Bombyx mori: one gene and its partners. The protein of the gene in region 3 purifies or fractionates together with the protein of the main gene of each other region. This does not show direct contact. Links are inferred from orthologs where the notes say so. Each region holds a gene or a part of one and is shown on either strand. Other genes may lie near its edges. The genes, in order: histone deacetylase HDAC1, chromodomain-helicase-DNA-binding protein Mi-2 homolog and metastasis-associated protein MTA3.

Region 1 (4,268 bases), on a different chromosome or scaffold from region 3:
ATAGCTACACATCCTTAAGTTGAATTGAAGAATGAAAATTTTTAAGGTACAAATTCCTGAAACCTTTGCTACAAGTTCACGTGAACTAATTTCAGTGTTACAATATTAATATGATTTCTAGTTCCTAAGTTTCTTCTACCTTCCAAGGTGAATTCTACCATTTCCTTGGACATAATTAGGAATGTACGTAAGGAGTATAAAATTACGCACTTGCCGTAAACTGCAGCTTCTTCAATCTTTCAATTCCCAAAGATACATTTTGTTACAATTTTATTTAAAACTAGCTGACCTGGCAGACTTCGTAGTACCTCAATCGATCAATGAAAGAAAAAAGAAATTCACCCGACCGGGGACACATCAAAGGAAAAACAAAATTGTTATTTTTATTTAATTCCGAGCATTTTCATATTTATCTACCTTTTAAACCTTCTCTGGTCTTCCACAAATAATTCAAGACCAAAATTAGTCAAATCGGTTCAGCCGTTCTCGAGTTTTAGCGAGACTAAGTTAGAACAACAATTCATTTTTATATATATAGATAAATGAATTGCTAAAAAAATGAATATATATATATATATAAAGATTCAGCTGTGGTAGTTTTTTAGAATATCGTATCCTTTATGTTGACCGTGTATTTCTAATAACATAAGAGGCAACGTGCGGAATTCTACGAATGGTTCTATTAAATTTTATATAAAAAATGCAGTAGGTAAGTTTTGTTGTGTATTGTGGTGACCACACACCATCAAGTAGACCGTATGGTTGTCAGCATAAGTATATTGCCAATAAATTCAATGATGATGATGATGATGATGATATGAAAATTTTCCCTCAGTATAGACTTTTCCACTTGGAACTTGAACTTGCTACCTTGAACAATATAGATAAATATACTTGAGACCTTAGAAAGGTGGGTGGCGCATTTACGTTGTAGATGTCTATGGGCTCCAGTAACCACTTAAGACCAAGTGGGTTGTGAGCTCGTCCACCCATCTAAGCAATAAAAAAAATGCTACTAACAATAAAAATCTATTAATATTACCATCTATTTTTTTCCCCTGCCTATTCCCTGGGAGCCAAATAGAGAGACACACAATTGAAATTTAATCAAAGAACCATTTTTCTAACAGAATTTTATAACCTTGTATTTTAAAAGTGTTTGCTCTTCTCTTAAAAAAATAAGATAATGAGGGATATTCCGTGCCTGAACTAGGTAAACATTTCGCGGAAGAGCCGCAGTTGAGGAGCTAAAGAGCAGCATGCGAGCCGCAAGCCGATCGCTGGCCTAAGGGGCTGTTCTAGCTGCCAAGTAATTCATGCTTATGATTGTAATGCTACTACCTACTGTGAACTGTGGCTTCACTTGATTTCTATATTTAATCTACTAAAAATCATTCAATTTAATCAATTCATTCATTCGTTCATTGAATATCTGTAACTTTTAGGTCAGTCAACTTCACTGTAATGAAATTGTCGTACTCTGAAGTTGCATTTTGTTCATCTTTCAATTATTTTATGAAGTTTTTTTGTGTGGATTGTCAAATTAAAGCACAGCGGTGTGGTTTTTATTTCTCTTTAACATTTTTAAGTATATTGTAATAATTTTATTAAAAAGTAACCGTTGAAGAAATAATTAAAAATGTCTATGCAACCGCACAGTAAGAAAAGAGTGTGTTACTATTATGACAGTAAGTAAAATAAAGTTTTACCCGCCACGGATCTCCATTACATCGCTAGTAACTTAAGAATTAGTTTTTGTATTATAAATAATTAATATGCGTAGTATTCATATTTTAAATACAAATTTCCACACGGCCTAGCTCTTTTAAGAACTTCAGAGATTTTAAAGCTTGTCTTAGGATTTTTATGACATTGTTAACTCAGTTCATTGTTTCATTTTACGACGTCTGTACAGCGTTCCGCGTTCCTATTGGGTACACGGACTTGCTCGTATTACGATGTACGAGGTACAGACGGCTAAATATGAAGCCGTAAAATGATTTAAGTAACATGTTAATAAAAAGTTGAAAATAATGCGTGTTATTTTTATTAAAGGCGATATTGGAAACTACTATTACGGACAAGGGCATCCAATGAAACCTCACCGCATACGTATGACCCACAATTTACTCCTCAACTATGGACTCTATCGAAAAATGGAGATTTATGTGAGTACTGAAATTACCTTTTAAGTGTAAGTTCTTCAATGATTTGAGATTTTATAATTATATATTTTTAAACAGAGGCCTCACAAAGCCACAGCTGATGAAATGACAAAATTCCATTCAGATGATTACATTAGATTCCTGCGTTCTATTCGACCTGACAATGTTTCTGAGTACAACAAACAAATGCAGAGATGTAAGTTATTACTAATTATTATCAATATTATTTAAAAAAAGTATTAATTATTCATAAATGCTTTAATGAAAATGTATTACCCTTGAAGACTTACCTGTTAAAGCTAATATAACAGTAGAGTTACTTATTTAGTGTGTTATTTTATATTAAACTATATTTTTTCAGTGTATAATATTATAATAGATTTGTCCCACAGTTTCAACTATGTTCAGCTTACAATAATGTGAATCTACTACAGTGGAATCTTACTATATTCATAATTTGTATAAAAAGATGATGAAAATAATAGATTGAATACAGCATATTTTGTGTAAAATTGTGGAAAATTCCTTTGATTCACTGCTATGACACTGAAAAAAATTCCTAAATTCAAATCTTTGACTATACCACAGCATCTAGTTGTGTCAGTCAATTGTCACACTGCTTGATAAGTATAGATATAACATACCAAAATTATAAAGAAAAAAAACTACTTTCCTGTATGAGCACTCTCCTTGTCTGCAGCCTGTTTAGTTGAAACCAATGTATCTGCTGTTTATTGCAGGAAGAAAACCTTTATAATGTACATATTTATTTAAAGAGTATGGTGAAAATGGTGTACAATCCTATTGGTTTTTTGTTAAAGTTCCTATAGTTCAAAGCATCAACCAAATTATTTTTGACCTATCCCTCAATCTACTGATGGGTAATATCCTATAAACTACATACCTTTATTAGTGCCTGATCACATTCAGGGATGATATGGAAAATATTCAACTTATTGAATGTGACTAATTTTAATATACATTTTGCAGTTAATGTAGGTGAAGATTGTCCTGTTTTTGATGGCCTGTATGAATTTTGTCAGTTGTCTGCTGGGGGTTCAGTTGCAGCAGCTGTAAAACTGAATAAGCAGGTAATTAGTCTTATTTTTTTATTTATTTTATTTTGTTAAAACAAGTTTTTCAGTTTAATTAGTGGCGATGAAAACTGTAATTTATTTAAAAAATCAGAAATAATATAACAGCAATTGTATACATGACATTAAACAATAAAAGTAGTTTTAATTACATCCTCTACTTACATATGCCAATGAGAAAGTATTATTTTCATTTGTTAAAATTATTATAATTTTACCTTTTTAGTGTTTTAACTTTAAAATGGTTAAAGACAGATGAGCCCCAACCTGATATTAACTGATACTGTGTCAGAGATGAATAGAACACTTAAATTGTGTTTATATTGATTTTAAAACAATAAAACAATAGATTTTTCTTATCTTGTGAGATTTCTAATTTGATTCTGCAAGTTTTCTTAATTTTATAATTATATAGTTATATAGGTTTCATTTATAGTTATTTATAACTATAAAATTAAAACATGTTTGTACTGATTTTATTATTGTTATAATTTTTTTTTTCCTTACACTATAAGTTAGATTAGTTTTCGTTATCGTGTTGTTTTGTCGTAATTGTAAGGAACGTTGATATACAAATTCAGCACTTTATAGTTTTGTCGTGCGCACATAACTTATGTTGCAAGCCAGATTTTGTTTTTTTTTTATTTGTGTTTTTTATGTATCTTTAGCTTGTGATGTGTATTGTGAGCCTAATAAAAAATAAAAAAAATAAATTGTTTTAGGCCTCAGAAATATGCATAAACTGGGGTGGTGGCCTCCATCATGCAAAGAAGTCTGAAGCGTCAGGTTTCTGTTATGTTAATGACATTGTTCTTGGCATATTGGAGTTGCTGAAATACCATCAAAGAGTACTATATATTGACATAGATGTGCATCATGGTGATGGTGTTGAAGAAGCTTTCTACACCACGGACAGAGTAATGACCGTTTCCTTTCATAAATATGGAGAATATTTTCCTGGAACAGGTGATTACATTACTTATTTCTATTTAAACTTGTTCAAAACATT
Region 2 (2,847 bases), on a different chromosome or scaffold from region 3:
TTTTGATACATTTATAGAAACTTCTGTGACGTCACACCGTCAAATTTAACTTGCCAATGAATCGCTAACCCTTTTAATTTTTATTGCTTAGATGGGTGGACGAGCTCACAGCCCACCTGGTGTTAAGTAGTTACTGGAGCCCATAGAAATCTACAACGTAAATGCGCCACCCACCTTGTGATATAAGTTCTAAGGTCTCAAGTATAGTTACAACGGCTGCCCCGCCCTTTAAACCGAAACGCATTACTGCTTCACGACAGAAATAGGCAGGGTGGTGGTACCTACCCGCGCGGACTCTCAAGAGGTCCACCAATAAGTACCTTATCTCCACCTTATCCCACTAGGTGGGGTCGGCACAGCGAATTTTTTTACTCCATTCTCTTCTATCAGGCGTCATCTCAACACTCACTCCTCTCTCTCTCTCATATCGTCATTCACACACTCCAACCATGTTTTCTTCGGTCGACCTTTTCCCCTTCTACCTTGCACTACCATTTCCATACATGAATGAATCGCAAATTATGAGATTAAAATGCTTCAAAATGTTGACCGTACAATTGACATTATATAAGTAACACAGTCCTTTTTAACTTACAACGCGATAGTATTAGTAATAGAGATTGGATCGAGTTAGCTTTAAGGTTTTTTTATATATATTCTTTCTGTAATGAGAGGTTTCACATTCCATCAAATTTGTTCTCAGATATGTTCGTAACAGGTAGTCTGTCTGCGATATTCAGTTAAAGTTGCCTGTTTATGTTCGTTTTAAACAACGAAAAATAGAATGAAATAAAATTTCCAATCGTATTGCAGCCCAAATGCCGCAGTTCCCGACCGGCTTCCAGCCCGGCGGCACGCTCCCCGGGTTCGCGGCGTCGGCCGCGACGGCGGCTAATTTCTCCAACTTCCGACCGCAGTACTCCGTGCCCGGACAGCCTACATCATCCTCTAACTCGAATGTGAGTCCATGACTGACTCAACTGTGATCAGTTTATTATTTTAGTCAGTATCTATATATTGAAGTTCAATCTCACAACAAATTTAGCAAAACAATTAGGGTCCGTTCACACGGCTCGGAGAGCATCGGCCCGCTTTTTTCTTTTCACACAGACCGGATCGTATACGGTTTGGGATAGGCCGGAGCAGAGCCGCCAACTATTTCATATAGACCGGCTGGAAGAGATTGTTAAGCGGATGCGCAAGCAATCGAAGCGGATGGGTTACGCGAGCGAGAAAGAGCCGGTCGGCTCCTCTTATTATTTCACACGCAGCGCGTTCAAGCATTGCTAATGACAAAAAAAGTGCACATGCAAAAATAAACTTTATTACGATTACTCAAAACTCTGTTTCCAACGTGATAAAAATCTGCTTCATATCTTTGTGAACGGACCCTTATGGTAATAAAATGTTGAAGTTGATATCAGTATTTCTCAATCAAATTAATCGTGACAGTTTAAATAGTTTGATGAGTATATTACAATAATATCAAATAATTATACTGCAAATGACTTAACTATCATTATGATCATGATACATTAACTCGAATGAGATGTGTAATTGTAATTTCGGATTCACGTAGTGTAAAAATCACTTCTAGACGATTCGATCACTTTTCCATTTCCGTATGTTAGAATTTTAGATAATATTAAAGAAAAGTTCTCTGAAAAGATGTCACATATAAAGCTATAATTCATTAGAACAATAACCGTTTGCAATGTTTGTTTAGAAAAAATCAATCAATCAAATAAATCGGATTTTATACCTGCAAAGTGTATAATTATGCGATGATGTAATAAATTATTGTTGTTAATTTATAACATTCATAAATGGTCTGTTTTGTTTCAGAAATCATAAACTCCGTAATTTAAACAACTATATTCGATTTGACGTAACCCGCAGGTAAAACATAGAATAATAATTTAATTCTTAGGCTAGAAGTGACATGCTTGACGGCCCGTTTAGATTTTCTCGCTGGTCGATATGCACGTTGAAATAAATTATCGAGAGCTCAAACAATAACGTGATTATTGTATCATTTTGTTTTAGCGAGCGGATATGTCGCCGCGTAGGTGAATTAGATGTAAGCTTTTTTGAAGATTCCTGTTTCCACATCGGCTCCGAAGTCATAATTATATTTGTGATTAGTTCAGATAGATTACATGACGTCATAGCGAAAATAACTCATAATATTATTTATTTCATCCTGATCTGTATGAATCTTTTCTATCGTGTAAGTGAATTGTGGACTTATGAAATCTTTATTTTTAATTTACCAAAAATTGAAAACTGAATAAAACTTACAGTTAAGGAATTGTGTTTTATTTATTGTCGCTTTCACAAGAAAGTGAATTTTAAGAAAATAATGTATAATGTTTATTTGGTGGTAACGACGAAGGGAAGATATTATGCTTATCTTGAAAATATCGTTAGCGAAATTCAGGCTATCCGCCACTCGGCTAACCACAAGCACAACCGCGTCCTGCGGTCTGCCGCTCGGCTGGCTGTATTCCGGCTAACCGCAAAGTGAGTAGGCGCCCTTAGTGATCATCCTTCATTATCGCGTTTATCTTTACTGGTAAGGCATGGGTAGCAACACTAGCAGCCACTGCCTTGCCTATTCCTGACGTGAAGAAAATAACGCATTCCGGTTTGAAGTGTGGGCAACCGTTGTACTATAGGAAGTTGAAACTTAGAACTCGTGTCTCGAGATGGGTGGCAGTATTTTTTGCAGTACATTGTTGACGTCTATGGCTTCCTGTGTGTTTAGTGCGAGTTTTTTAACGTTCTCGATAGCGTAAAAGTTAACCCAAATTCGTATGCAGTTGAAACAGAGCGCCCCTAGCGGCA
Region 3 (4,441 bases):
CAATAAAAAAATATAGTACTTTAAGAAATTGCTAGAGATATTTTCGTAAAACTTGGCAAGCTCGCGACAAGAAAGGAATGTAATAGTATAAGGTCATTTGTTTTAAATTACATATTTTCACACACACCACATTTTAATTTTATTTAAGTTCCTTTCTTGATAACTGTTATATTTTTATTATGTTTAAAATGAACTTCAGTAATTCTATTACATTATATAGGTGTATAACACTGATATTATTAGTGTAGGTATTAGCGACATAAGCAGGAAAAATAGAAGAAGAATAATGTATGATTAAATATATTTATGGGCACTTTGAAAATGGATAATTAACTTATTTTATTAATGCTTTTTTATGAAATACTTTTAGTGTTAATTTATATAAATACGTAATATTCCCGTAAAAAAGGAATTAAATATTTTGAAATTTATATATGCATAAAAATACTATGTTGGCTTATATAACAAAAAATAGTATTTTAGTTGGACAAAACTAAGCATAGGTCATTGAGCTCAATCAATTTTCAAAAGCTGAAGGTCACTGATAAAGACAATTTTATACTTTTATTGAATAAAAAAACACTTGAAAAAAACTACTATTTTCCATTTTCATTATTGAAATTTTAATAATCATCCTAGTGATTTTGAATTTATTTATATCTGTATGTGTATATCATATTATTATGGTTTCTTATTGTACTGCGTCAGTGTGTTTTTAGTGTATTTTCTTTACTCAGCACCTAAATTAAATTTATATTGTGTATTATGCAGATGTATATTAGATATCTGCATGTTTGCATTAAAATTGCAATATGTAGAAATTTATAAATAGATACAATAACAAACTAGAGTAGAGCAGAGACGTTTTGTTGTAGATCAAAATATTCTATTACAAACAAATATACTTAAAATAACACTACGCTAACACAATACTATTAATTTAAACTGAAAGAATGCAATGTATTGTTATAATTCTTTTCCTAGATACCCTGAAATGTTTTAATTCATTAATTGCAGGGTCACTGAATGACAGCTGACAAACCCTTTAAACTTTTATGCCAGAATAGATTTAATAATCACTGTGATCATGGTCTATATCAATCATTGGATTAATAAAATACCTTTTAATTTTGAATCCTTTGCATTTGCAATATTAAACTTTGTTTATTGGAGCATACCTACTGCTTTCAGTACATCTGAAGTATTTGTGGTGGCCTTGATAGAATAAAGAAATGCATGTTTGTTTATGTTATTAGTGTTGATTGCAAAAAATTGTGTTTGACAGCATTTTCAAAATGTTTTTATTATTTTTATAATGAGAACAGTTTGGCAGTAGTTTTAGAGTAATAAAAAATAGTGTATAGCTCTTTCAGGTTTAAAAGATTAACAAAAGATTAACATTAATTCATTGAACTGACAATTTAACTTGATTTAATAGCAAAGTAAAATTTTATTGGCTTTAGAACATATTTTATAATTGTTGTATAGGTAATTAGAATGAAATTGTTAATTTTATGTTTTGGAGGGAAAAAAATATTTCATTTTAAGATTTACTATATTGACCTAAGGTTAGTGTAAAACTACGGGTCAAGATTTAATTTTAAAATTAAAAACTTTAATAATCCCTAATTTATAGTTGATCACAGAGTAATATTTATTTACCCATTTAATGAAATTATTAAATAAAATACATTCCATCTCGGTTCTAACAAAATTATTTTACTAAGAATTAGCTAATTTTGAAACAAAGACATAACCTTAACAGAAGCATTACATTACATGATAGGAAGTGATACAAAAGGAAGGGCTAATTAACATTCGACGCGACGGACGCCGAGTGCGGTACATGAGGCGCTCGTGTTGTTCTCGCGACTCGCGGCATCAATATCCTACAGCAACCGACATCCTCGACTACCACCGTCCATACACAAACAAACCAATAATTTATAATGACTAGCGACGCCACACTTTTACTGTTTACTTTCTTATCATCCCTAAACTCTTCCAAGATATACCAAATAACCCAAAAACAACCAGCTCTCGTATCAAAATGTTTTGACAACATCGAATATAACCTAAAATCTCACGTCAAAATCATCAAACTATTCTAAAAAACTATCATCTCAGTTAGGTAACTAAAGACGCTTCATGCCTAACCGCCCGCACGCAGATACACGAGCCGATACAATGATACCTAGACGTAAATGCTAATGTCCTATTTGATTTGACGAATTTTGGTAAAATATAACTTTTCCGCAAACTTTATCAAACGGTTATAAACACGATAACCTCCACGGATACATAAAAACCGGCATTTTTTGGGTGTTTAATATGTTTGGATTAATTAATATAAGCAATTAATGAAAGTACGACAATCAAAGCAAAGCACCGCTAGTCGGCTGGCGGTGAACCGGCGAAGCTACAACAAAAATAACCAATTATTGCTACTCACCGCCGACTCTGTACATATTCGCAGCCATTTTTATACACAATCACTATTCATTAACACTTAATTAATCTACATCTGACACAATTAATAACTATAACACTATGTAATTGAGCTTTTAACAATGTTTTTCATCACGTTAACTCCGGACGCCTTTCGCTGATCGCCATTTTCTTTCACACTACTAATTTGGCCAGTGCGCAGTCGCACTTTTTGGCGTAAACTTCCTGCTTTTGAAACAAAGCAATGACATGTCATTAATTTTGTGTCCACAAATAAAATCCAAATGATTATTATTTTGAATTATAAAAAGTATTGTTTGAAAATAATATCGTCCATTGAAAATTTATTTTACGATGTCCTAAAATAAAAAAAATAATTCATTCAACCACGTTTCGTTCTTTTAACGGGAACAGTGTTGACAAGATTTTAATTATATTAAATATTTACTGTAATTTTTTTTTCAACAAGAAGTAAGAAAGTTTCTTTAATTAAATAAATTTTAACATAATATTTATTTGTATATTGAAGACTGAATATAATAAATTGTGTTTTATATCTAAAATTAATTTTAATTCGAATTTGGAATGTGGAAAGGAACGTCAGAGAACCATAAAGAAAACCAAAAATTTTTATTTTTTTTCTCCCTTAAAAGTATTTTTATTTAAAAATGTTATTTATATATTTAAAGATTTATTAATTTGTGGTTCGTTTGATAGTAAAATTTTAAATTATTTTTATATGTTGTGATGGATGGCGTGTAAAAATGTGACGTGGCCAGTATGACAGCTGATTTGTCTATGGTGTTGACAACTGCCAAATCAGCCAGCCTCTCCAGTCTGCTTGGTTTCTAAAAAATTGAGAAATTTATGGGATTTTTGAATGAAGACATATTGTGATTTAAGAAATTTGCTCATGTGTTTATAACTGGTTCGCCGCATGACTTTTTGGTACGTACATTTGGTTAATAGTGCTTCTAAAGTTACCAGAGTCTGTGTGCATTTATGATGTTTTTGTAATGTATCTTTTTCGTATAGATCGGCGATATGGCCACATACGAGGAGTTCATCCAGCAGAATGAAGACCGCGATGGCATACGGTTCACTTGGAACGTATGGCCATCAAGTAGAATTGAGGCTACGAGGCTTGTTGTGCCTTTGGCTTGCTTGTACCAACCGCTTAAGGAGCGCCCCGACCTACCACCGATACAGTACGAGCCTGTACTCTGTACACGAAATACATGCAGAGCTATATTGAACCCAATGTGCCAGGTGGATTACAGAGCTAAATTATGGGTCTGCAACTTTTGCTTCCAACGAAACCCAGTGAGTACTTGAAGAAATTCGCCACTAACTCAATTAGTCTAATGTTTTTTTCTTTTAAAGTACTTATAGAGTAATCAATATATTTTAATTTCAGTTTCCACCTCAATATGCTGCTATATCAGAACAGCATCAACCTGCAGAACTGATTCCTAACTTTTCCACCATAGAGTACACAATAACGCGAGCACAGGCTATGCCCCCAATCTACCTGCTTGTTGTTGATACTTGTTTAGATGAGGAAGAACTTGGGGCACTCAAAGATTCCTTGCAGACTTCACTTAGTTTAATGCCTCAAAATGCACTCGTTGGACTAATAACATTTGGTAAAATGGTACAGATTCATGAATTAGGTAAGCAATATGCTTAAGATGTTATTTTCTTTGTTTATATCTCTATCTAAAATATAATATGTAGTCACAGAAAAAATTAGAACAAAAGCTTCCTGCAGACTGAGAGAAGTATCAAATTAACATGATTAACCATTAAATAAATATTATTAAATAAAGTTTCTTTCCTCCAATGAACACTACGCTAACTCCAAATTTGTAGCTTTACAGGAGGAGCATTTAAATGAAAAAAGTTGATAAAATCTTTATAATTGCAGATATATTATGTTTTTTTCTTGTGTAACTAGCTGATTTAATCTTCCGTAGAACCCCATCAATAACAT

The links.
Region 1: the proteins of metastasis-associated protein MTA3 (region 3) and histone deacetylase HDAC1 fractionate together in Drosophila melanogaster (co-fractionation; 3 studies listed by BioGRID, with this or other methods). This does not show direct contact. The link is inferred for Bombyx mori from reciprocal best matches to the Drosophila melanogaster genes MTA1-like and HDAC1.
Region 2: the proteins of metastasis-associated protein MTA3 (region 3) and chromodomain-helicase-DNA-binding protein Mi-2 homolog fractionate together in Drosophila melanogaster (co-fractionation; 3 studies listed by BioGRID, with this or other methods). This does not show direct contact. The link is inferred for Bombyx mori from reciprocal best matches to the Drosophila melanogaster genes MTA1-like and Mi-2.

Annotation. Positions count from the first base shown.
Region 1 is NC_085117.1:13,611,250-13,615,517, reverse strand, and holds the start of histone deacetylase HDAC1, read left to right. Parts: upstream 1-1,424; 5' UTR 1,425-1,639; coding exon 1,640-1,688; intron 1,689-2,055; coding exon 2,056-2,168; intron 2,169-2,243; coding exon 2,244-2,361; intron 2,362-3,155; coding exon 3,156-3,256; intron 3,257-3,981; coding exon 3,982-4,225; intron 4,226-4,268. UniProt on the Drosophila melanogaster protein: Catalyzes the deacetylation of lysine residues on the N-terminal part of the core histones (H2A, H2B, H3 and H4).
Region 2 is NC_085116.1:13,694,370-13,697,216, reverse strand, and holds the end of chromodomain-helicase-DNA-binding protein Mi-2 homolog, read left to right. Parts: intron 1-813; coding exon 814-959; intron 960-1,845; coding exon 1,846-1,854; 3' UTR 1,855-1,899; intron 1,900-2,046; 3' UTR 2,047-2,307; downstream 2,308-2,847. UniProt on the Drosophila melanogaster protein: ATP-dependent chromatin-remodeling factor which acts in nucleosome-remodeling by catalyzing ATP-dependent nucleosome mobilization. Involved in regulating transcription. Plays a vital role in development.
Region 3 is NC_085131.1:3,800,300-3,804,740, reverse strand, and holds the start of metastasis-associated protein MTA3, read right to left. Parts: upstream 2,882-4,441; 5' UTR 2,481-2,881; coding exon 2,453-2,480; intron 1-2,452. Other genes in the region: protein transport protein Sec23A, read left to right, coding at 3,493-3,771, 3,866-4,121.